4 linked regions of the Danio rerio genome follow. The protein of the gene in region 1 purifies or fractionates together with the protein of each later gene. This does not show direct contact. Links are inferred from orthologs where the notes say so. Each region holds a gene or a part of one and is shown in the gene's direction. Other genes may lie near its edges.

Region 1 (5,895 bases):
GTGACACCAATAATAAAACAAACATAAAAAACTAATATTAGACAAACATATTTTATTCAAAGTGATTACTTAAGCAACTTTATATTTATTAAACCATAATAACATTTCCAATAATTTAATTGCATAATAAACCTTTAATTTTGCAGGAGCCTTCCTTTGCATTACCTTTTTATTTATTTATTTTTTATAATTAGCATAATCTATTTTCATATTTCAACAGATGTAATTCCTCTAATAATCACATTATTTATGTTTCTTAAGGTTTGCAATAACCTGATTCATGACAAATAATAATCTTGTTCATTACACTCAAAGGACTTTTACGTTGAAATTGAACGACTTCCTTTTAAAGTGAAATAACTTCCTTTTACTGTGAAAATTCATGCATACACACATATGAAATCACTTGCATATATGTATATACACAACTAACTGTATATATGTTTGTGAATTTTATTTTGTATGTTTGCACAAGTGTCATTTGGTTGTTTATGCACACATCAAGTTTATATTCTTATGTGAGAGTTTATGGGTGTATATGCATAGATCAAGTTTATATGTATATGCAAGTGTGTATAGGTGTGTTTGCATGCAGCAAGTTTATATGTATGTGCGTGTGTTAATGTGAGTGTTTATGTGAGGATCGAGTTTATATGTATGTGCGTGTGTATGTGGGTGTATTCATGCGTCAAGTTTATATGTATATACACAAGTTTCATCCATGTTGTTTTGAACATCCAGTAGTATAGGTGTATATGCGAGTAATTTATAGGTGTATATACACGTGTTTTATGTATGTGTTGATAAGCAAAGTTTGATTTAAATCCTATACGGCACCTCATATTCAATAGCTTTATTAGATAAAAATATATATTTTTTCTGAAGAAGCCAAAACTGTTCCCAATCTGTCATCAAATATCCTTCAGTTTTTTACTATCTGAATTTCGTCACCAGAACCACGTGACTGCAAACAACTTGACATTCACCAAACAACAATAAATGAACATTAACTTATACAATATCTCGTTTTATTTTTAGCATTTAAATGTGTTCATTTATTGTGACTTTTTGGAAGTTCACTTTGGTTCAGGCACACTGCTTTATATGTGTTATTTATATTATATTTATTACACATTTATACATGTGATAGTGACACACTCAACATGGCGGATTTGGGACGCCAAAACATTTTACGTCGAAGCTGGTCAAAGTTCATTTGTAGTTTCCCGGGAAAACGATCTGACGTTAAATCTACCACATGTCTGCGAGTGTTGTGTTGTATATCTAAAGAATACATTTGGTCTGCATCTATTTGTTACAGTCTGTGGTCTGCATGCATATTACGGGTAAGTTGTGAAACAAAAATATTTTTAGAACAATGCCTGTTTTACCACTAACGTTAACTTATAATGTGATCAAACTAAACCGTAGTCTCACGATATAAACTAAAATTACAACATTAATTTCTGTCTTTTAGTTTCTTAATAAACACGTTATTAAGGAAATATACACAACACGTAAACATCTTCAGATGTATGCAAGTTATTTTACTTTGAGTACTCTTTGTGTGAGCAAAAGCTTCGATTTCTAATTTACTTTTTTTTTTAAAGCATGCTTTCTCAGTTAACTGGTTAAATGTTTTTCTTTGTTTGGCACTTTTACTTTCGGCTTGCAAACTTCATAATAAGTACACAAAGGTTTCACGACCATCTCCTGTGTTTTGATCGCCCATCAGCTGTGAGAACAGGACAATCGCCCCGTAACATTGCATAATAATACCAGATACTTTGAGTTTCTGACACCTCAATATCCAATAGCAAAAGCCCCAGTGAGTCTCTGAAACCTTTAATCATTGCAGCCTGACATTATAAGATCTGCTTTGAACACAACACTCACATTTTCACCGAATGCAGCCATGGAGAAGATTACCGAGAAGATACTGCTGGAGAAAAGCTCTACAAAGACGAACAAACTGGACCAGATCAAGACCCTCAAGTAAGAAAGTTCATTTGTTGACACACCACACACGTTATAACACAGATATAAACACTTGCACACATCAAAATGACTGAAGGTAGTTGCCATATCAACAGTGTTGGGGGTAACGCACAGTGGCGCAACTACAGCTTTACTGAGGGGTATGCGGGTTCAAGTCTTGTAACAGGAAAGTGATAGTGCTAAAAATTTCCATAAATAAATTAAAGATATGTTTTCCTCATCAACATGATTCAAACAAATACATTCGCAGTTCTGAACACAAATGAAATAGTATGATGTAGTAAAAGTATATTTACACTTAGCCTGTCGCAAGGAATTACATCTTATTCCAACCCAAACCTCTTCTCAGTTGAATTCCCTCACTAAATACCTTGCTTCTGTACTTTTTGTACAATTGTGAAAACAAAATGATAGATTTGGTAGTCCTAAAGGGCAAAATAACACAACAATGCAATTACTTCTCATATGCGAGGTGTAAGGTCTGTCTTTGCATGAACAATTGACTGAAACTGCTCTTACACCTCTCACAAAGTTAAATAAAAAAGACTGTAAACTGTTTAGTGTAAGAAATAAGCAGAGAAAACCTGCCTAAAATGTTCTTTTTATCAAAATGTTATGGGCGAACTTTTTGGTAACTAAAATTCAAATAGTTTTGAGCAAAAAAAGTTACCAAAAGGCCTGATGAATTAATATTTAGGCTTTTATTTTAGAATTAAGAACTGCCTTTCTTTTGATGCTAAAAAGAAGCTGGTTGAGGCAACATTCATGTCGACATTGTACTAAGGTGATGTTATATATATTCATGCTTCGTCTCAATGCTGAATGCATTGGATACTGTTTACCATGGTGCACTAAGATTTATAACTAATTTTATATCCCTTACTCATCATTGTGTGCTGTATACTAGGGTAGGTTGGTCTGCTTTGTCCATTCGTAGGCTCAAGCATTGGCATATTCTTGTTTACAAATCTATACTGGGTTTACTCCCATCATATCTACAGAATTACATTTGTAAAAAGCCTGTTCTTAAATATGGTCTACGTATATCACAGGATATTTATTTGCTGTCTGTTCCTAAAGTGCGGACTGAGATGGGGAAAAAAGGCTTTTAAGTACGCAGCACCTTTTGCTTGGAATAATCTGCAAACACAGTTGCAGTTCAAAGAATTGATTTCACTAAATGCTTTTAAAAAGACTATAAAAGATTTAGAAGTTGAAACAGGATTGTAGATGTTTTGAATAGTTTCTCAGTGTGATTCTTGTTAACTAAGTTGTTTTTTTGTTTGTTGTCTGTTGGACTCATGTAACTTGTGTACGGCCTAATTTTGGCCAGGACTCTCTTGTAAAAGAGATTTTTAATCTCAATTCGTCTTTTCTGGTAAAATAAAGGGAATAATAATAATATGGCACAAAATAAATTCATAAAAACATCTATATGGTATAAAAATGGATCTTGATAGAAGGATTAATAAACATTTCAGAATATAATGACTATTTGTTCATGTGTCAGCTTTAACAGGGTTAAGAATCTTTATAATCAAGTATATAAAAGTCATATAAGGGAATTTTTTTATCCAAAAATTATTTTCTATTTATCTGAATATATATTGTACTTACATAAACATACATTTTGTCTGATCTCTCTCTTATTTTGGCAAAATAATTATTTAATAATCAATAATAAAAAATTAAGAAAAAATGTTTTAGATTAATCATAACTTTTGACCTCAGCTGTACTGTATGTACGATTTGACAGTTTATTTTGATAAGGATTGTAAAATCTAAACAGTTACATCTACATGAACACTACACTTGGCTGTGTGCATGTTATTGTGCTCAATGATTTTGAATTAAAACGCGTGTGCCAACGTATGCAACTCATGGTATAATTTTTAACTAAACTGTTGATTTACAAGGTTAATGCATTTCTCAATGAATGTAATCCACAATTTGAATCCTTTACGCATGGTCTTGCAATACGAAGTAAAGTTTCATGAACTAATTTCTAAGAGGAGCACATGATATGATTAAGCACGACTGGCTGCTCGTCTGTAATCAGTAATAATCTAATCAGAGTGATCCTAGTTTACTATTAATGGATAATTTTCTCCCTACTGTTCTATCTTCGTTTTGGAAGAATCCCCCTTCCACCGCATCTCCTCCTTTTCCTCCCTTTTCTAAAGAGGGAGCTCTTGAGACCTACATGATCTCGGTTCTCCTGATATGTTTTTTGACCGGGCGGGAGCCGTGGGCTCAAATATCTCCGAGCTCTGGGCTCTTTCCCGGGACAGCATGCCAAACCTGCTATAAATGCTGAGCATATCTAAGTGGAAACTCTTGAAATGTAACCGGGTCCGGATTGAATACCCGATCCGGACCGGAGTCTGGATTTTGAAAAGCCCTGTTATACAGTGTGTTGTTAATTACTCTATTAAAAAAAGGTGAAAAAAACACTGCAAGTTTCAAAAGAGATCAAGCCTCAGCCAGGTCAGAAAAACTGTGGTTAGCGTGCTGACATATGGTGCAATAGCACGTCAGGGCGTCGCGAGTTCGAATCCCGGCTCGACGATATTTCCCTACCCTACCCCCTCTCTCTCTCCCACTTCGCTTCCTGTCTCAATACTGTCCTATCTAATAAAGGCAAAAAGGCCAAAAATAAATCTAAAAAAAAAAGAAACGTATCGTATTACTTACCATAAAAGTAAATAGGTAACGCAACTAGTTAGTTATTTTGGGAGTAACTCAATATTGTAATGCATTACTTTTTACAATAGCATTTTCCAACACTGGTAGAACACATAAAAATATATATTCATTAGATCTGATAACATTTAGATCTGTTCTAAATTCACTAAACTTTGGGTTTTTTGAGGCCTGGTGCTTTGAGGCCTATTTGGAGATTACGTTTTTTTACTCCAAGCTTTATGACCTGTTAAAAAGACAAGCATATTCTGGTTAGGTATGTTTTAATGCTGGTTCCTAGCTGATTCTTTGCTCCTCCTACATTTGCCGTCACATGACCCTCCAAATACCAGCATAAACTAGCATCAAAACATACCTAATTTGCATGTTATGTTGATTTAAACGGGTTGTGAATTCACTCAAACCAAAGAGCATAGAATCACCAAGAGGCAACACTCTAGTGCAATTTGGGAAACAGCCTCTAGATGGCGTGGCGGCCATTTTGGCATGAAAACTCCAATTCACCTTATTCTCCGCCGACGAGGGGGCGCTGCCATTTGAATCCTTTTGGCTTGAGACTTCCTGTCTCATTCACTTCCATTCATTTTTTGACGTTAAAAACTGCTCATTACGCTGCTTGATGTTGCAATTTGATATTTTCTTATTATATTATTCTACTTGGTCTGTGTAGTCATGCAAACATTTGTTTGTAGAGCAAGTAGTTTAACCGTTTTCTGCCGTTTATTATTCCTATTATTCATTTCTCCCATAGGCGACTGAATCGGAAGTTCTAAGACGATCGCGAAAACAGGCGCACTTCCGCATTTTAGAATAAGGTCAATAGAACAACAACATATTATAAGTATGTAAAATAAACTATTAAAAGTGCTGATGATTATAATGTTAAGTGTTGTATTGGCATCTTTCAGGTTGTATCTCAGCTTTAATGCGCGTTTTAAAATAAATAAATAAATAAAAAACAAAGCAGCTGCTTGCCATCGCAACAGCAATAAGATCCAATGGACAGCCGATTGCTTTCACTCCAGAGTGGTGGAATCCGGGGCTGTTGCTGGGCGCTGCTGTTGCAATGGAACGTTCTATTGATTGTCGCCTCTTGGTCATTCTAAGCTCTTTGCTTAAACTGAGCAAGACAAAAAGTGTTAGTTAATGCTCTGCTCTACACTGTTAAAAACAAACAAGACTTAATTTGATGTC
Region 2 (5,962 bases), on another chromosome or scaffold:
TTAGATCCAATGTGGATTCAAATTGTACTCAAATCCTTTGTGGATTTTGACTGGATTGAAGCTGGATTTTGCTCTGATTTTTTTATCTTGATTTATCTGGATTCAGTTTTAACTGCACTCGGGTCCGTCAGGATTCAAATGTAGTCCAGATTTAGATCCTTTATGGATTCAGTGTGGATGCAAAAAATTATCCAGAATCTGGATTCAGCTCAGATTTAGCTCCTTTATGGATTTATTGTGGATTCAGATTTAATCTGAATTTATTCCTAATCTGGTCCTTTTTGGATTCGGTGTGGATTCAGACCCTGTCTGGATTTAGTCCCAATCTGGTCCTTTTCAGATGCAGCTTGGATTCAGATCCTATCTGGATTCAGTCCAGGTCCAGCTCATCTGTAGTTTCAGTGTAGACTCTCTCCTTTCTGCATTTAGTTTGGACTTTTGGTCCTCTGTATATTCAATCCGGACTTGGTTGTTGCCTGGGGTGCCAGCTAAACTCAAGTATAGACAGAACAGCTCACAGATGTCGCGACAGACTAAGCAGTTTTGGTGCCAGATGTCACAGTGATTCGTTCAGCGTGGATGTGGCAGTCTGTCCGTGACTCCAATGATGTTCTCTTCCAGCTCTCCTCTCATTCAGTGTCTGTGCATCCGCATCATTCAGCCAAGCAATCTCATTAAGGTGAATAATCACACTCGGGACAGCATAAAAATAATGACTAAACTCATAGGAAAACACTGCTCATATGACGACGACGCATTCCAGCGCATCATAGATAATATTCCCAACGCAAATGTCAGTATGAATACTTAATGATGACCCGAATAAATTAATGCTTGGATGGTGTGCGAATGAGACATATATATACTAAAGGGTACATTTATATAAGCAATAATCTACCTTGTACAGTCCAAATGGTCGTTTCCACGAGGCTACTATGGGAAAAGACTGATTTTCCGTGATCAGTCTCGCCGTGCTGTTGCGTTCAACAGAAATAACGGATGCTGGGATGACGACACTTGCACTGCATCATATTTTGCGTGTCCATTCTTCTCAGATTTACACGCACAGACAGTTGCAACACGCAAATGTCGCTCTCCTCTCGGCTTCTGGCTTAACGGCGCACCACTGCTCCATCCGATTTAATCCTGCGCGCACATCTCGGAGCAAGAAAACCCACTGCACCTGACCAAAGTGATGTCGACTCAGTGCAAAAAAGCAGGGATGAAAAGATTCATTCCGCGCGTGTGGTTGTCAATGAGGCGCGCTCGAGCGAACAGCGCAGATTTCAGGCACACCCGAATATTCAGTCTGCGTCTGTCACTCCCGTCCGCATAGCAGATACAGGAGAGATTCAGAAAAGAGACGCTGGCATGACTCTGTGATCAAACAGAGTCCGATATAAAATTGTATCCAAAATCGTTTTTGTGTCTCTGTGAGTTTCGCGAGAATTATGACCAAAGATTCTCCGATTCAAACGTTATAAAAAATTAATTTAAGAGCAACTGCCAAGAACTACATATCCCAGAGTACCGTATCCGGAAGTGACGCATGCGGCTTGTGACGTATGTTGCGACTTGAGCGGGGAAACTGATGTGAAGTTTACCGTGCAGGAAGAAAGCTGAAAATATATAACCAAAAATTGTAATGTCTTTCTGCTGATACACAACTTGCTCGAGTATCAGGTTTTTATGTTTCTTGTTGTTACTGGTTTTTGCTTAAAAGTGTTATGTTTAGGGCTTTGCTAGTTTGACCACGTGTGAATATCTCTCAGTATAGGTTCTAGCAGTTATGGTTATTAATCTTCAATAATGAACGCATCATTTTTAATAATGCGATATCTAATCTACATCTAGGTTTTGCATTTAAGTTTGTTCAAACACCTGTGTGCGCTCAAGGTTTTAAACCGAGCTTTTTATCATCTGTAGTTTTTATCACTTTACTAAATGCATGTGTTTTGCTGTGATCAGAGGATGCCTGTAACTCTGCAGTGTCCCGGTTATCCTGAAGACACACTGCGCACCCTTGCTGAAAAACTGCCATGCAGGGAGACACAGGTGACGTCACTGCTGTCACTCATGGGGCAGGTAAGTTAAATGGCAGAATATGTAATTTTCTATTGGTTTACTCAAAATACTGATTGGAGGAAACTTTTGGTATTACCTAATAAATATTTAATTACAAATAAAATCAAAGAAATCTCATTTAAGATAGTACACTAATTTTACCCTGTTAAGCATTTTTTTTAACCAGATGTATTAAAAAAATGGATGTCAATTGTTTTGCTCATCTCACCCAGAAACAGTACCTTATATTTTCTGGCATTGTCAATACACAAAACTGTTATGGGGGAAGGTATCTAAATTTATAAACGATTAAGTGCTGTCAAATTTTCTTTTACTGTATGAATATGTTATTTTTGGTTTAACCATGATAAGAAGTTGGAAAATGAAGCTTATGTTATGTATCGATATTATGTATGTCATCGATGTTAATTTAGCAATCAGAAACCTCTGTTTTAGTGGTACTTAAAGAACTAAATATTTATATAAATACCATTAAGGGAAGTACTAACAAAATAGCTGTTTAAACCGTGTATTTGTTTGACACTTTTAAGTTAATGTGAGTTAGCAAGGCCTAGCATTATTTAATTGTAATATTTTTTAAGCCTTTTCTATTATTTTATTTCATTTAGTTTTTTTATTATTTTAATACCTCTGGCATTGTTTTGTTTGTATCGTTCTTGCAATAATAATAATAAAAAAGTTAAATGGCAGAATTATTATTTTTTGTTATAGTTTACTTTATACTTAACTGTTGTTTATGTTCTTGTAATAAATTATAGAAATAATAAAAACAATCAAATGTAAAAAAAAACACCATTATAAACTGTAGAAGAAATGTAATAATAATGCAACTTAATGTAAATATGAAAGTAAATATACATAAACATACTACAATATATAAATAATTACATATATGTATAGAAGCTACATATATATAATTAACAATTACTGAACTAAAATCAATTGAAGAAGTGTACTATAATAGCTTACTTAAAATGACGTATTATATATAAAACGGCAATAAAAATAGTTCAAGAACTAATTGGTGCAATAACACTGCTTTTTTAAATTATGACAAATGAAAACAGTTAATGTTTTAATTGTTCTGACCAATTTCATTTTTTGAAAACAAACAAAAAAAATCTTTATGTAAATGACAAAAAAAGTTTGTGATGCTATAACCTTTTACCATGTTCATTAAAAGCTCACATGATTTTAAAAACTGAATAAAAAATAATATTTCATGATTTCTTTATATATATATATATATATATATATATATCTATCTCACATGCACATAAATATGAAAAGTGTATTTAAAATAGTTCTTAAAAAAACACTCTTGTTCAATTTGTCTTAATGCTGCACACTGGCATTGTTGCATTATATAGTGACAGTTGTGATATGTCACATGTTCGTTGTTAACTTGAATTGTGGTTATTCTGTTGATTAACAGCCAGATCACTACAGCTATCCTTCAGTTTTCATCTATGGGCACAGAGCAACGGGAAAGAGTCATGTGGTGCTCACCATCATGAAGGATCTGGAGGTAAGATAATGAAAAAGGATTATATGGAAACCCGAGTTTCCATATAACTGGAGAAGTCCTCATTTATGCAGGTGAAGAAGCACATTACATCACTTTTGCCTAGATATCCCCCCCACCTCCCATATTGACAATCAATGCTGCTAAGCTATAAGTCAGAATCAGGCTGCAGATGTCGTGTATGATGGGCACAGACTAATGCTTTGTTATCAGAGGATATCAAAGTAAGTCAAACAGGTTTTTTGATTTCGAGCTGAACTTGTTTATTTGTTTTTCATTAGTAATGCATCTGTTAGAAGTGATGTTTATGTTTTTGCTAGGGCCATCACAGTTATGAAATCTGTCTGACGATTAATAGCTTTGAGGATTAATTGTCTGTTTTGGGACTTATGGAAATCTAATATTAGTGCTGTTAAGCAATTGCATACAAAAAAAGGTTTTTATTTACTTAATTTTGTTTGTGCTTTGTCCATTTAATAAGTATATATAAATAAGTTCAGTTCAGCATGAGGCCTCTATCTTTAGCGATTTAGTAATTGATCATTTATCAATCACAATATAAACTATATATAAACTATATATAACTATATATAAAAATAATAAACATAGGATGATTTGTTTTTAACAAAACTACTTCAATTTAAAAAATCCATTTAGTGTTTTTCTGCCTTCATTTTAGGTTTCTTGAGTAAACATGTTTAGTGTCAGAAGTGAAAGACAATGGCTGTATTTTGGTGTTGTGTGTGTTTTGCAGCTTCCTCATGCTTCAGTGGACTGTGTGGAGTGCGTGTCCGCTGGACTGCTGTTTTACCAGGTGTTGTCCGCCCTTTTCGGACCAGATTCAGCTGCTTTGCTTCCGCGTTGTCCGTCTTTGTCAGATTTTGTACGCCTGTACAAACAGATGAGCTCCAACACACCTGCCACACAGACACGCTATATAGTGAGTTTTCATTCTAATATTTAACATTCAATGGTTTTGCTTATGTTTGGAGATTTGTCAGTATTTTGGTGTTATTATTAGGGCTATGCAATACACACACACACACACACACACATACTGTATACATTATGTATATATATACATAATTATCAAAATATTGCAGATGTATATATTGCAGTATACATGCCACAGTGTGCATATTATCAGTAATTATTAATAAAAATATTATCAGTTATCTAGATTTGCCATTCATAGATGTTTTGTGTTTTTATTATATATTTTTTAAACTACTGATAACATGTTTTTTTTTTATTTCAAATGATAATATTATTATCATTTGCATAATTTATTTGCAGAAAAAGACAACAGTTGAGTATAAATAATTAATATTTTTAGATCATTTTTAGTCATATTTTCGCCAACATTTGGTTAAATAAAATATATAGAATATTACATGTTGACCGCCTAAAAGGTGTCTTATTTTTTCCACACTTTTGTTTGTTTTATGCCATTGATGTTAAAGATAACATATACTGTAAGTTATTAAATGTCTCTGTAGGTTCTGGACCGAGCTGAACGCATAAGAGATATGGATTTCAGCCTGCTTCCTGCTCTTCTGCGCCTACAGGAACTGGTACACACACACACACACACACACACACACTCAATTTTGCTAATGCTTTACTATAACAGGGTTACAATCTCATCCATTTATAAAGAGGCCAATGCTTAATAAGAGCCACAAATTTTGTTAGAATAGAGTACATGTGGAAATATAATAACTTCCCATCATTGATGCATTTTCTATCTGTTGCAGGTAAATGATAATGTGACCATTATCTTACTCAGCGAAATAGTGTGGGAAAAGTTTCGTCCTAACACCGGCTGCTTTGAACCTCTGCTTTTTCATTTCCCAGATTACAGTAAAGGTGAGTGGCAGATTTTGATTATGCAATAAAGAGCTTTGTTTTTACTATATTATGTAATTGTACCACAAAATAAAAGTGTTTTATAAACATGACTAAAGATCAGATTTGTCAATTTATGTTTTATGTAACTAAGAACCTTCTACTTGAAACATCAAATTTGTGATGGGATTAAACTAGAACGGGCATTTGAGGGCTTTTGTAAAACCGTTTGTGCTTTCTCAATATAATCACAATGAGGTGAGTTTTAATACAGGTTGCAAACAAGGACAAGGACACTGTTAATATTTGGATGGGTGTTTGAAACACTCTGAAAACTTCTGTTTTCTGGTTTCCACAGTGGAGCTTGTGCAGATTCTGTCAAAGGATCATCACCCATCCTACACACCTGAGCTCTACGCCTCCTACATAAACATCTTGCTGGGGGTTTTCTTCTCGGTGTGCAGGGATCTAAGGGAGCTCAGGCACCTGGTGAGATCATCCATC
Region 3 (5,270 bases), on another chromosome or scaffold:
GTATAAAAAGGCATTAAAAAATTTACTTAAAGAGTCAGATGTTAATGTGATTAAACTTTTTCTTTTTTAGGTAAGTTAGGATGATCAAATATTCCTGTTCTGCTTAATAGCAGAATAATGAGAGCGATATTGTTTGAGAAATTGCTATAACTTTTCTTAAAAGTCAAGTTTACATACAGTAACATAATTCTGCCTCTGGAAAAGCTCAGATGATGGTGTCAAGGTTCTGGAAGTTTCTGATTGGCTAATTGACCATATTTGAGTTCATTGGAGACACAACTGTAGAATAGTATTGAAGGAAAAGCTCAAACACACTGATTCCTTGTGTACCAACATGGGAAAATCAACAAGCCAGAATCAACAACAAAGCCAGATTACAATTAGCTAAATGACACTGGGGAAAAAACTAAATTTATTGAGACATGTCCTGTGATCTGATGGAGCTAAAATTGAACCGTTTGGCCATAATGAGCAGTGTTACATCTGGAGGACAAAGAGGAAAGCTTACAAGCCTTGGATCACCATCCCTACTGTGAAGTATGGGGGCGGCAGCATCATGTGGGGCTGTTTTGCTGCAGGAGGGACTGGTACACTTCACAGCATAGTTGGCATCATGAAGACAGAACATTATGGAGAAATACTGAAGCAACATCTCAAGACATCAGCCAGGAGATTAAAACTTGGCCACAAATGGCTCTTCCAAACAGACCATGACCCTAAGCATACTGCCAAATTAGTTCAAATGTGCTTTAAGGACAACAGAGTGAATGTTTTGGAGTGGCCATCACAAAGCCCTGATGTCAATCCTATAGAAAATGTGTGGGAAGAGATGAAAAAGCTTGTGTGAGCAAGACAGCCTACAAATCTGACTCAGTTACACCAATTCTGTCAGGAGGAGTGGGGCAAATCCCCCCCCCCCCCCAAAAAAAAATTGTGAGAAGCTTGTGGAAGGAGACCCAAAACATTTAACCAAAGTTATACAGTTTAAAAGCAAAGCTAAGAAACACCAAGGCAGTGTGTGTAAACTTTTGACTGTCTAGAAATGAATAAAAAATTCTCAAAAAAAAAGTCCTCTCCTTATTCTGGCCTTTAGCAAATGTAAATGATTTAGTTAATCCTAACGGACCTAAAATAGTAAACATTTAGTGATTTACCATCAGACATAAAAAAAATGGTTATGTTCCTTTTTTAGAGTGTATGTAGACTTCTGGTTTCAACTGTATTTGACATTTATATAGTTTTTGTACTCTTCTGTAAAACATTGGCATTGTGTTGTCTGAGAAATGAATATAAATATAAAAAACAAGGCTCCTTTTTGTTATTTTATGCACAAAAATTATCTAAATGACAACAGTTTTACTTTAAGAAGAAATGTTATCAGCGGTTACAGAATAAAACAATCAGTGTGTTTTAAATCCAGATAAGCTGAGCATTTCTATGTGGCCTTTGTGTTGTGATGTTTGCTAATGTGTGTGTTGTTTGTTGTGCAGTTGTTGGGTTGTGTTCTCCGAGAGCTCATGAGTCTGAAGGAGGTGCAGAAGAATGTTCTGCTGGTGGAGCTGAACGGTGAGATCCTGCACATCATCTTAATGTGTTATACTCTGTTTTAAACATGAGCTGCGTTTGCATTCAAAGATATGCATTAGATTTATGTGCAAATATGCAATAACGCATAAAACATTACTGAATAAAGCAGCATTTACGTCTAATGAGAAACAAAAGAGCACAAAATCAGCACTTCTTGATAAACTTGCACTAATATAGCTGAGAGAAGTGTAGTTGGATCCGTTGGGATTTGCCACTGGTGTTTTTTCTCCTCTAATAAATGAGTTGTGCCCCAGAAGACGAAGATGAAGCACAATAAATGTTTTTTAAAGAATAAAATGCTTTTAATGCACACATAAGTGCAGTTAATACTTAAGAAATGGTTATGTTTAATCTTTTTTTCGCAAGCTAAAATTCATCACAGGCTTTTCTCAGCTCTTTTCTACACGTCGGATGCTCTGATTAGATCAGAAATTGGTGCATTCATGGATAAGAGACGGGGCGTGTGTGTAAGTTGTTTACTTTGAGTCTATTCAGACGTGTTCCCAAATTAGGTAGTGAAAAAATGTGTGTGTAAGTTCACACCCCCTTTTGAATAAGTAGAATTCAGTCATTAAAAGGTGAAAAGGTCATGTTGTTTTTATGTTGTTATATGATACGCTATGCTTCCATCATAAAGATATGAATTAATAATGCACACATGTGACTAATGTGCATATGGAATAACACAATAGTGAATAAATCAGTGTTTCAGTCTAATGAGAAATAAGAGAAGAAAATCCTCAGTTCCTGCTAAACTTGCACAGATATTGCTGAGAGAAGTGTAGTTTGATGTGCTGGGATTTGCTACTGTGGTGTTTCTTCTCTTATAAATGAGTTGCGCCTCAGAAAACGAAGACAAAACCAATATATAGTGAATGTGGTGGCCTTGGGAGGCGTAAGACATGAGCGCAGACAGATGCTCAAGACAGTCCTAGAGAGAATAATAATAGAAGCATCTGGCAAAAACTACATCACAGCACGCAGATTGATCGAGCACATGCACATGTGCACTATATTAGTAAAATATTGCTGGCATTTACTGGAAAACACCCGGTAGCCTGCTGTATGCTAGAGACGTTCAAATTCAACATTTGTGCTTGCAGATTTAATTAATCTTGCTGTTTTTGTTTTATTAATGTTCCTCATTCAGCTCCAATAGTTTTGTCTAATTTCACAATTAATTTTTTTCAATATTTCAATAACAAGCTGTAACAAAAATAATAAATAAAGTTAGATGTATTGTTCATTGCTTTTCTGATGCGCATAAATGAAGTTTATTCAGTACAATTTTTTCCATCATAGTTTTTTTATCTGCTAAAAAGTTTATCCTACTCAATTGTCGGCATAGGATTGTTATTCTGGTCTAATATCTTGGTGTTTCTATTATACATTTTTTATTGCAAAGTTCCAAAATGTGGTTTAAAATGGGTGCATGGAAACTCAGCATCTGGCTTTCTGAATGCAGGTCTTCTGCAGACGGATGATAAAATTGCTCTGAAAGAAATCACGCGGCAGCTGCATCTGGAGAACGTCGTAGGAGACAAAGTGTTTGTGAGTTTCAGATATTAGTATTCTGATATTGGGCAGTTCACCCAGAAATGAAAATGTACTTAATATTTACTGACCCTCAAGTAGTTCAAAACCTTTACGAGTTTCTTACTTCTGTTAAACACAAAGAAGATTGTTGGAAACCTGTAACCATTGACTGACACAGTAAGAAAAACAAATACAATTGAGGTCAATGGTTACCGGTTTCCAACATTTTCCAAAATATCTTCTTTTGTGTTCATCAGAAGAAAGGATCTCATGAAGGTTTGAAACATGTTAAAAAGTGTGCAAATGATGACAGAATTAAATTGTTAAGTGAACTAACCCTTTCATGTTTTTATACTGATGGTTTTTTTGTGTTTCAGGGCAGTTTTGCGGAAAATCTGGCTTTTCTTTTGGAGGCTCTCAAGAAAGGTGAAGCTTCAGTTGTTTTTATGTTATCTGTGTGTGTGTGTATGTATGTATATATATATATATATATATATATATATATATATATATATATACATATTTATATACATACGTGTGTGTGTGTATATATATATATATATATATATATATATATATATATATATACACACATATATATATATATATATATATATATATATATATATATATATATATATATGTATATACATGTGTATATACATGTGTATATATACATACATTTATTTATAATACTGTACTACAATTTGAATTTATTTCATTGATAATTAATAACTTATTATTTATTTATTTTTGTCCATTTAGTTGTAGTTTAGTTTAGGTTTTAATCATTTTATGTATATAATTTTAGTTTCCTATATATTTATTTACTTTTAAAGTTTTTTTTACATTATTGATATATTTTAAAGAATTTTACATTATTGATCATCATAGATATCAAACTGAAAAAGCATATCTATATAATGTAATATTAAAAAAAGCATAATCTTTAATAAATGATGAAGTTATTATCATGTAATATGTTTTTGATGTTTGTTTATGCTTATGTTTTGATTCTACCGTTAGTTTTTGTATTTCTTTATATTTATTTACTTCAAATAAGTTTTAATAATATAATTTATTTTATCTGAAAAATGTAATGTAAAATTAAAACATTTTATTTATTTAATATTAACATTTTTGTATCATCTCTTACTGAAAATATAATAATCTAGTCATGAAATAAGCCATAAGGTGCTGATGTGACAATAAATAAACCAAAAAACAAAAGTACTTTTAATTTGCGGTTCTAATCTTATTGCTTATTTAATGCTTCATGCAACACGTCTAGTTTTAGTCTAGTTTGTTGTGCACCATTTGATTTTGTCATATTAAAAAGGCTCCCACTTTATATCAAGTGGCCTTAACCACTACTTGCATTAGAAAATAAATACAGTGTACTTACTGTTCATAATGTTTTGCAGAACACTTGTGGTGCTCTTAGGGTGGGATACAGGTCAGGTTAGGGACAGGTTTGGTGGTATGGGTAGGTTTAAGGGTGATGCATTTATTTTTAAGCTTTATTGTGCTGTGTTGTCAGGTGATAAGAGCAGTAGTCGTCCTGTGCTCTTCTTGCTGGATGAGTTTGATCTGTTTGCTCATCATAAGAACCAGACGCTGCTCTACAATCTGCTGGACGTTTCTCAGTCTGCGCAGACGCCTGTGGCTGTGGTCGGACTCACCTGCAGACTGGTGCGGCTTCATACAAAACAGCCAGCAGACATCTTCGATGATGTAATGATGTCTGTTTATGTCATTAGTCTTCATGCAGTGTTTTTCATTGTGTGTGTGTGTGTGTGTGTGTGTGTGTGTTGTAGGATGTGCTGGAGCTGCTGGAGAAGCGGGTGAAGTCTCGATTCTCTCACAGACAGATTCATCTCTTCAGTTCTCTCTCCTTCAGTCAGTATGTGGATGTGGTTCGACTGCAGCTCAGTTTGCCTCAGGATTTCCCAGATCACAGGTTCTCCAGCCAGTGGAACCAGAGCGTCACGGTACACACAGATTCTTGTATACATGACGTACAGGGACTCTCCATAGGCATAATGCATTTTAATGATCTTATTCTTGACGTACTGGCGGGTCCAGCTTTTGTCTTGAGACTTCTGCTCTCATTCACTTCCATTTGATTTTTAGACGTTAAAAATGGC
Region 4 (4,492 bases), on another chromosome or scaffold:
TATAAACTGCATTTATTTTTACCTAATTATCCCAGCGACTCCTGTATGAATCGTTCAGTGATTCATTTGTTCCCAAACCCCTCCTTAGCGCGAAGCTAATCTGCGCTGATTGGACCAATGACAGTCTGTTGCGATTGGTCGACTGCCTTCAGTCGGAGTGAAATGCCAAACAGCTAATCAGCAATATAAGAGTAATCACAGTTCATACACGCTCGATAGTGTAGGCGTGGATTTTAGCTGCCAGTGGGTGAATGTAAATACAGAGATGGACTTGAAAATTCAGACGATTAACTATTTTATTAAGCAAAAACTCCAAAAACTGTCGAGGAGATCACATAGCTTGTCTCACTCTGCTCTTTTCACAGACACAAACACACACACACATTGCCCTCGTCCGCGCACACACACACACACACACACACACACACCTCCGGGCGACAACGCGCGCACACACACACACAAACACACACACCTACCTCCGGACGACAGCGCACGCACACACACACACTACTCTTGCCATGGAGCTCCGTAAACAAAGCAGCACGCGTCTCGTTTTTAACGTGACTTTGCACGCGATAAGAGAATATAGCCAGTTAACCTGATACAGTACACGCGGTTACAAGTAACAAATCACAACTAAATACATTTGCAAGCTAGAGTCAACGAGGCAACTTTAATCGCACGTACTTACACTTGAGAATGGAGGAAGAAACCCATCCTGACGTCCATCAGTAAGTTACTCTTTACTGATCCTTCCTTTAACAAACGCCGATGAAGTATTCTTTGTAGCATGTAGTTTGCAGAAGCTTCCAGTAGTTTCCAACTGCTTGGTTATAATGCTGAGGTTTCATCTTTGGGTAGAGACTCGATATAATATCCATCTGCAGTGTGACTTCAATCGACCGGCATGTTTGTGTGTGTGTGTGTTTGTGGGTGTGTGTGTGTGGGTTTCTGTGTTAGAGGGCGGGGCCGCAGGTTTCAAATCTCCCGGGTTTGCGCGTGCATAACTTGCTTTCGTTAGTACGTCATGGCGAAACACCTAATGACTCGGTATCAAGGCGACTCGTTTGAAGCACTATGAGTCGACTCTTTTATAGATGAATCAACCGTTTAAAACACTGTACTCTTACAGATTTAGCTGGATACTTAACTTCACTTAGAGCTGTGTTACACACTACATGGAGGGGAATTTTCAAAAACCCATAATATGGGCTCTTTAAGTTTCCCAGCCCTAATATATAGATCCAGAGTTGTTACTGTGTTCTGTTGTTGTTGCAGAATGAAAGTCTGAAAACTAATGCTGGCACAATCTCCAGCGCTGCTCCAGACCTCTGCATTGTATACAAGCTTCATCTTGAGTGTGGGAGACTCATAAATCTCTATGATTGGCTTGAGGTACTGTATGAACATGGTTAAAATCAAAATGACACATACTGTAGAGGTGGTTATCTTTGTGCATGTTGATGGCAGATATCCATGTTGTATTTCCAGGCATTTGTAACTGTGCTGTCTGCCGCTGAGGACCAAGATGCTGATTCTGGGGATCATGGACAGCTTGATAGCCTTAAACAGTATCCTTTTACTTCTGACATCTTATATTAGCAATGAATGTGTTCCTAATTGAATATATGTCAATTTTAGCTGTGTCTGTCATAAATCTAATATTAATTGTATGGTTATTCCTGTAGTACAGGGGTGTTCAAACTTTTTGGGCCGAGGGCCAGATGCAAAAAAAAAATACGTTGTCGCGGGCCAAATTTTACATACATAACACAGACACGCATATATAAATGTGTGTGTGTATATATATATATATATATATATATATATATATATATATATATATATATATATATATATATATATATATATATACAGTTGAAGTCAGAATTGTTAGCCCCCCTAAATTATTAGCCCCCCTGTTTATTTTTTCCCCAATTTCTGTTTAACGGAGAGAACTATTTTTTTCCACACATTTCTAAACATAATAGTTTTAGTAACTCATTTCTAGATACTGATTTATTTTATCTTTGCCATGATGACAGTAAATAATATTTGACTAGATATTTTTCAAGACACTTCTATACCGCTTAAAGTGACTTTTAAACACTTAACAGGGTTAGTTAACTAGTCAAATTAAGGTAATTAGGCAAGTTAATTAGGCAACAATGGTTTGTTCGAGTAACGAACCTTTCTCTGATACAATTGAGTAAAACGGATCACTGGTTCAGAAATGTTCATTTCACCATCAGTAAGTTTTACTTGGTATATTTATGTGTTGAAAATATCTTTAACTTAACATAAAATAAAATATTAATCCAGACACATTATCTTGTGATCCAACATTATACACTGTAAAAAAATCTTTAATTTTTTTATGGTTTACTTCCGACAGCTGGGGTGCCGGTTGAATTACAGAAATGTACTGTAAAATAACAGGTTGATTTACAGAAATTTATATTTAAGAAAATTTCTGTAATTTAATGTATGTTATTTTACGGTAAATTTCTGTAAGTTTCAAGACTTAAGGGGCTAATAAAAAATAATTTATTTTAGTTCATAAAAAATTAAAAACTGCTTTTATTCTAGCCGAAATAAAACAAACAAGTCTTCCTCCAGAAGAAAAAATATTATCAGACACACTGTGAAAATTTCCTTGCTCTGTTAAACATCATTTGGGAAATATTTAAAAAAGAAGAAATAAATCATAAATTTAATAGATAGATAGATAGATAGATAGATAGATAGATAGATAGATAGATAGATAGATAGATAGATAGATAGATAGATAGATCATAACAAGAACTGCTGCTTAATTGAATGCGTGTAATAGCGACACCCGGTGGTTATTTATTGAATTACATTCATTTTTTGTGTAGCGGGCCAGATTCTATTGGTATTTATAAAAAGCCTCGCGGGCCGCCACAAAACTGATTGCGGGCCGCAGATGGCCCGCGGGCCGTAGTTTGGACATGCCTGCTGTAGTATGTATTGGTCTTAACATTTAACAGTGCTCGGTTCATTCAGGCCGTGTCTGAGATGGAATTTCTTGGTTTTGTTAAATCAACAAAACAGAAAACGGACCATGTGGCAAGACTGACATGGGGAGGATGTTGAAGAAAACTCCCTGAACACAACAGACTGGCCTGACATTCATAAATCAGGTCAATGGTATTTTGTACTGTGAGCTTTATTGCAATTAAACTTTTAAAAATTCATGTTGTACTTGTAAAAATGCCATTGAAATAAAAAAAAATTATTCTGTTTGAACCTCTGAATAGTTTTTTTTTAAATAAGACTTTAGATGTCAGTCCACAGTCTCCACAGTCAGAAATATAGTAAGAAAATGGAAGGCCACAGGAACAGTTCTTGTGAAGAAAAGAAAAGAAAAATATCTGAAAGATTAAGGTGAACAATGGATAGAATGGTCACAGACAAACCACAGACCACCTCAAGGAGCTCCAGGAACATCTTGCTGCTAGTAATGTTATTGTGCTTTGTTCCACAGTCTCCACAAAGAACAGCTCAATGGAAGGTGATGCAGAAGACTTTACTGCATTCTGCCAACAAAAAGAGTTGTTTGAGGCTGGGGGCTAGCAAATTTATGTTGGGGGGGGGGGGGGGGGGGTGTTTGTACGTCCCCCTCACTTTTAGAGACTAATCATTTAGAAACAGGTGATTAATAATTATACTAACATTACCATTTTGATCTCATACAGCTACTCAACCCCCCCTGCCCCCATACTTTTAAAATGTTCGCTAGGCCCCTGGTTTGAGGTATGCAAAGACTCATGTGGACAAGCCTAAATCTTTCTGGAAAAAACTACTGTGTAGAGATGTCACAACCAGAGATGGGAAGTAACAAAGTACAAATACTTGTATTTGAAGTATTTGTACTTTGTTACTGTACTTAAGTAAATTTTTCTGGTGTCAGTACTTTATTCCACTACTGATTTTTCTGACAACTTTTTACTTTTACTTCTTATATTTTTACACAAATATCTGGACTTTCTACTTCTTACATTTTTTTAATCGGGCTCGTTTCTTTCGTTTTCATGTGTTTGGTGGCACGACCTATATTATTTCTTGTCATTGCGCGTGAACATTTTTGATGCTGTGTCTAGTTTTCCTCATTGCGCGCCTGCTTGCTGTACTGCGCAGTCTTTTCAAGGCTGTCACGCACCATACGTGGTCTAGTTTATAAGATTACTCTGAGAAAAGCTGCGTCCCAAATGGCACACTATACACTATATGCACTCATGCGCTATCGGGGTTCCCGCGGGTCCTTAAAAAGTCTTAAAATGTCTTAAATTAAAATCCGTTAAATTAAGGCCTTCCATAAAAGGAAATTAAATTTTCAGCCAGTGTGCTTAATGACGATAGGGAAGCACAGTGGTCCACAGTAAAACATCTAATAGTAGACTAATTTAGTATGTGTGAAACAGGAGAGAAATGACAGTCTCCGTGATTTATTAGCTTATCACGGTAGGTT

What was found.
Region 2: the proteins of lrwd1 (region 1) and orc5 purify together in Homo sapiens (affinity purification with mass spectrometry; 4 studies listed by BioGRID and IntAct, with this or other methods). This does not show direct contact. The link is inferred for Danio rerio from reciprocal best matches to the Homo sapiens genes LRWD1 and ORC5.
Region 3: the proteins of lrwd1 (region 1) and orc4 purify together in Homo sapiens (affinity purification with mass spectrometry; 3 studies listed by BioGRID and IntAct, with this or other methods). This does not show direct contact. The link is inferred for Danio rerio from reciprocal best matches to the Homo sapiens genes LRWD1 and ORC4.
Region 4: the proteins of lrwd1 (region 1) and orc3 purify together in Homo sapiens (affinity purification with mass spectrometry; 4 studies listed by BioGRID and IntAct, with this or other methods). This does not show direct contact. The link is inferred for Danio rerio from reciprocal best matches to the Homo sapiens genes LRWD1 and ORC3.

What each region holds. Positions count from the first base shown.
Region 1 is NC_133180.1:67,369,894-67,375,788, forward strand, and holds the start of lrwd1 (leucine-rich repeat and WD repeat-containing protein 1), read left to right. Parts: upstream 1-1,915; coding exon 1,916-1,995; intron 1,996-5,895. UniProt on the Homo sapiens protein: Required for G1/S transition. Recruits and stabilizes the origin recognition complex (ORC) onto chromatin during G1 to establish pre-replication complex (preRC) and to heterochromatic sites in post-replicated cells.
Region 2 is NC_133179.1:22,958,982-22,964,943, reverse strand, and holds the start of orc5 (origin recognition complex subunit 5), read left to right. Parts: upstream 1-1,588; 5' UTR 1,589-1,683; exon of another isoform or gene 1,684-1,771; intron 1,772-1,968; 5' UTR 1,969-1,971; coding exon 1,972-2,085; intron 2,086-3,520; coding exon 3,521-3,613; intron 3,614-4,364; coding exon 4,365-4,550; intron 4,551-5,109; coding exon 5,110-5,184; intron 5,185-5,367; coding exon 5,368-5,479; intron 5,480-5,816; coding exon 5,817-5,947; intron 5,948-5,962. UniProt on the Homo sapiens protein: Component of the origin recognition complex (ORC) that binds origins of replication. DNA-binding is ATP-dependent. The specific DNA sequences that define origins of replication have not been identified yet.
Region 3 is NC_133181.1:1,844,206-1,849,475, reverse strand, and holds part of orc4 (origin recognition complex subunit 4), read left to right. Parts: intron 1-1,490; coding exon 1,491-1,566; intron 1,567-3,052; coding exon 3,053-3,138; intron 3,139-3,500; coding exon 3,501-3,549; intron 3,550-4,663; coding exon 4,664-4,815; intron 4,816-4,940; coding exon 4,941-5,114; intron 5,115-5,270. UniProt on the Homo sapiens protein: Component of the origin recognition complex (ORC) that binds origins of replication. DNA-binding is ATP-dependent. The specific DNA sequences that define origins of replication have not been identified yet.
Region 4 is NC_133192.1:55,382,157-55,386,648, reverse strand, and holds the end of orc3 (origin recognition complex subunit 3), read left to right. Parts: intron 1-1,278; coding exon 1,279-1,395; intron 1,396-1,491; coding exon 1,492-1,571; intron 1,572-3,011; coding exon 3,012-3,117; 3' UTR 3,118-3,278; downstream 3,279-4,492. UniProt on the Homo sapiens protein: Component of the origin recognition complex (ORC) that binds origins of replication. DNA-binding is ATP-dependent. The specific DNA sequences that define origins of replication have not been identified yet.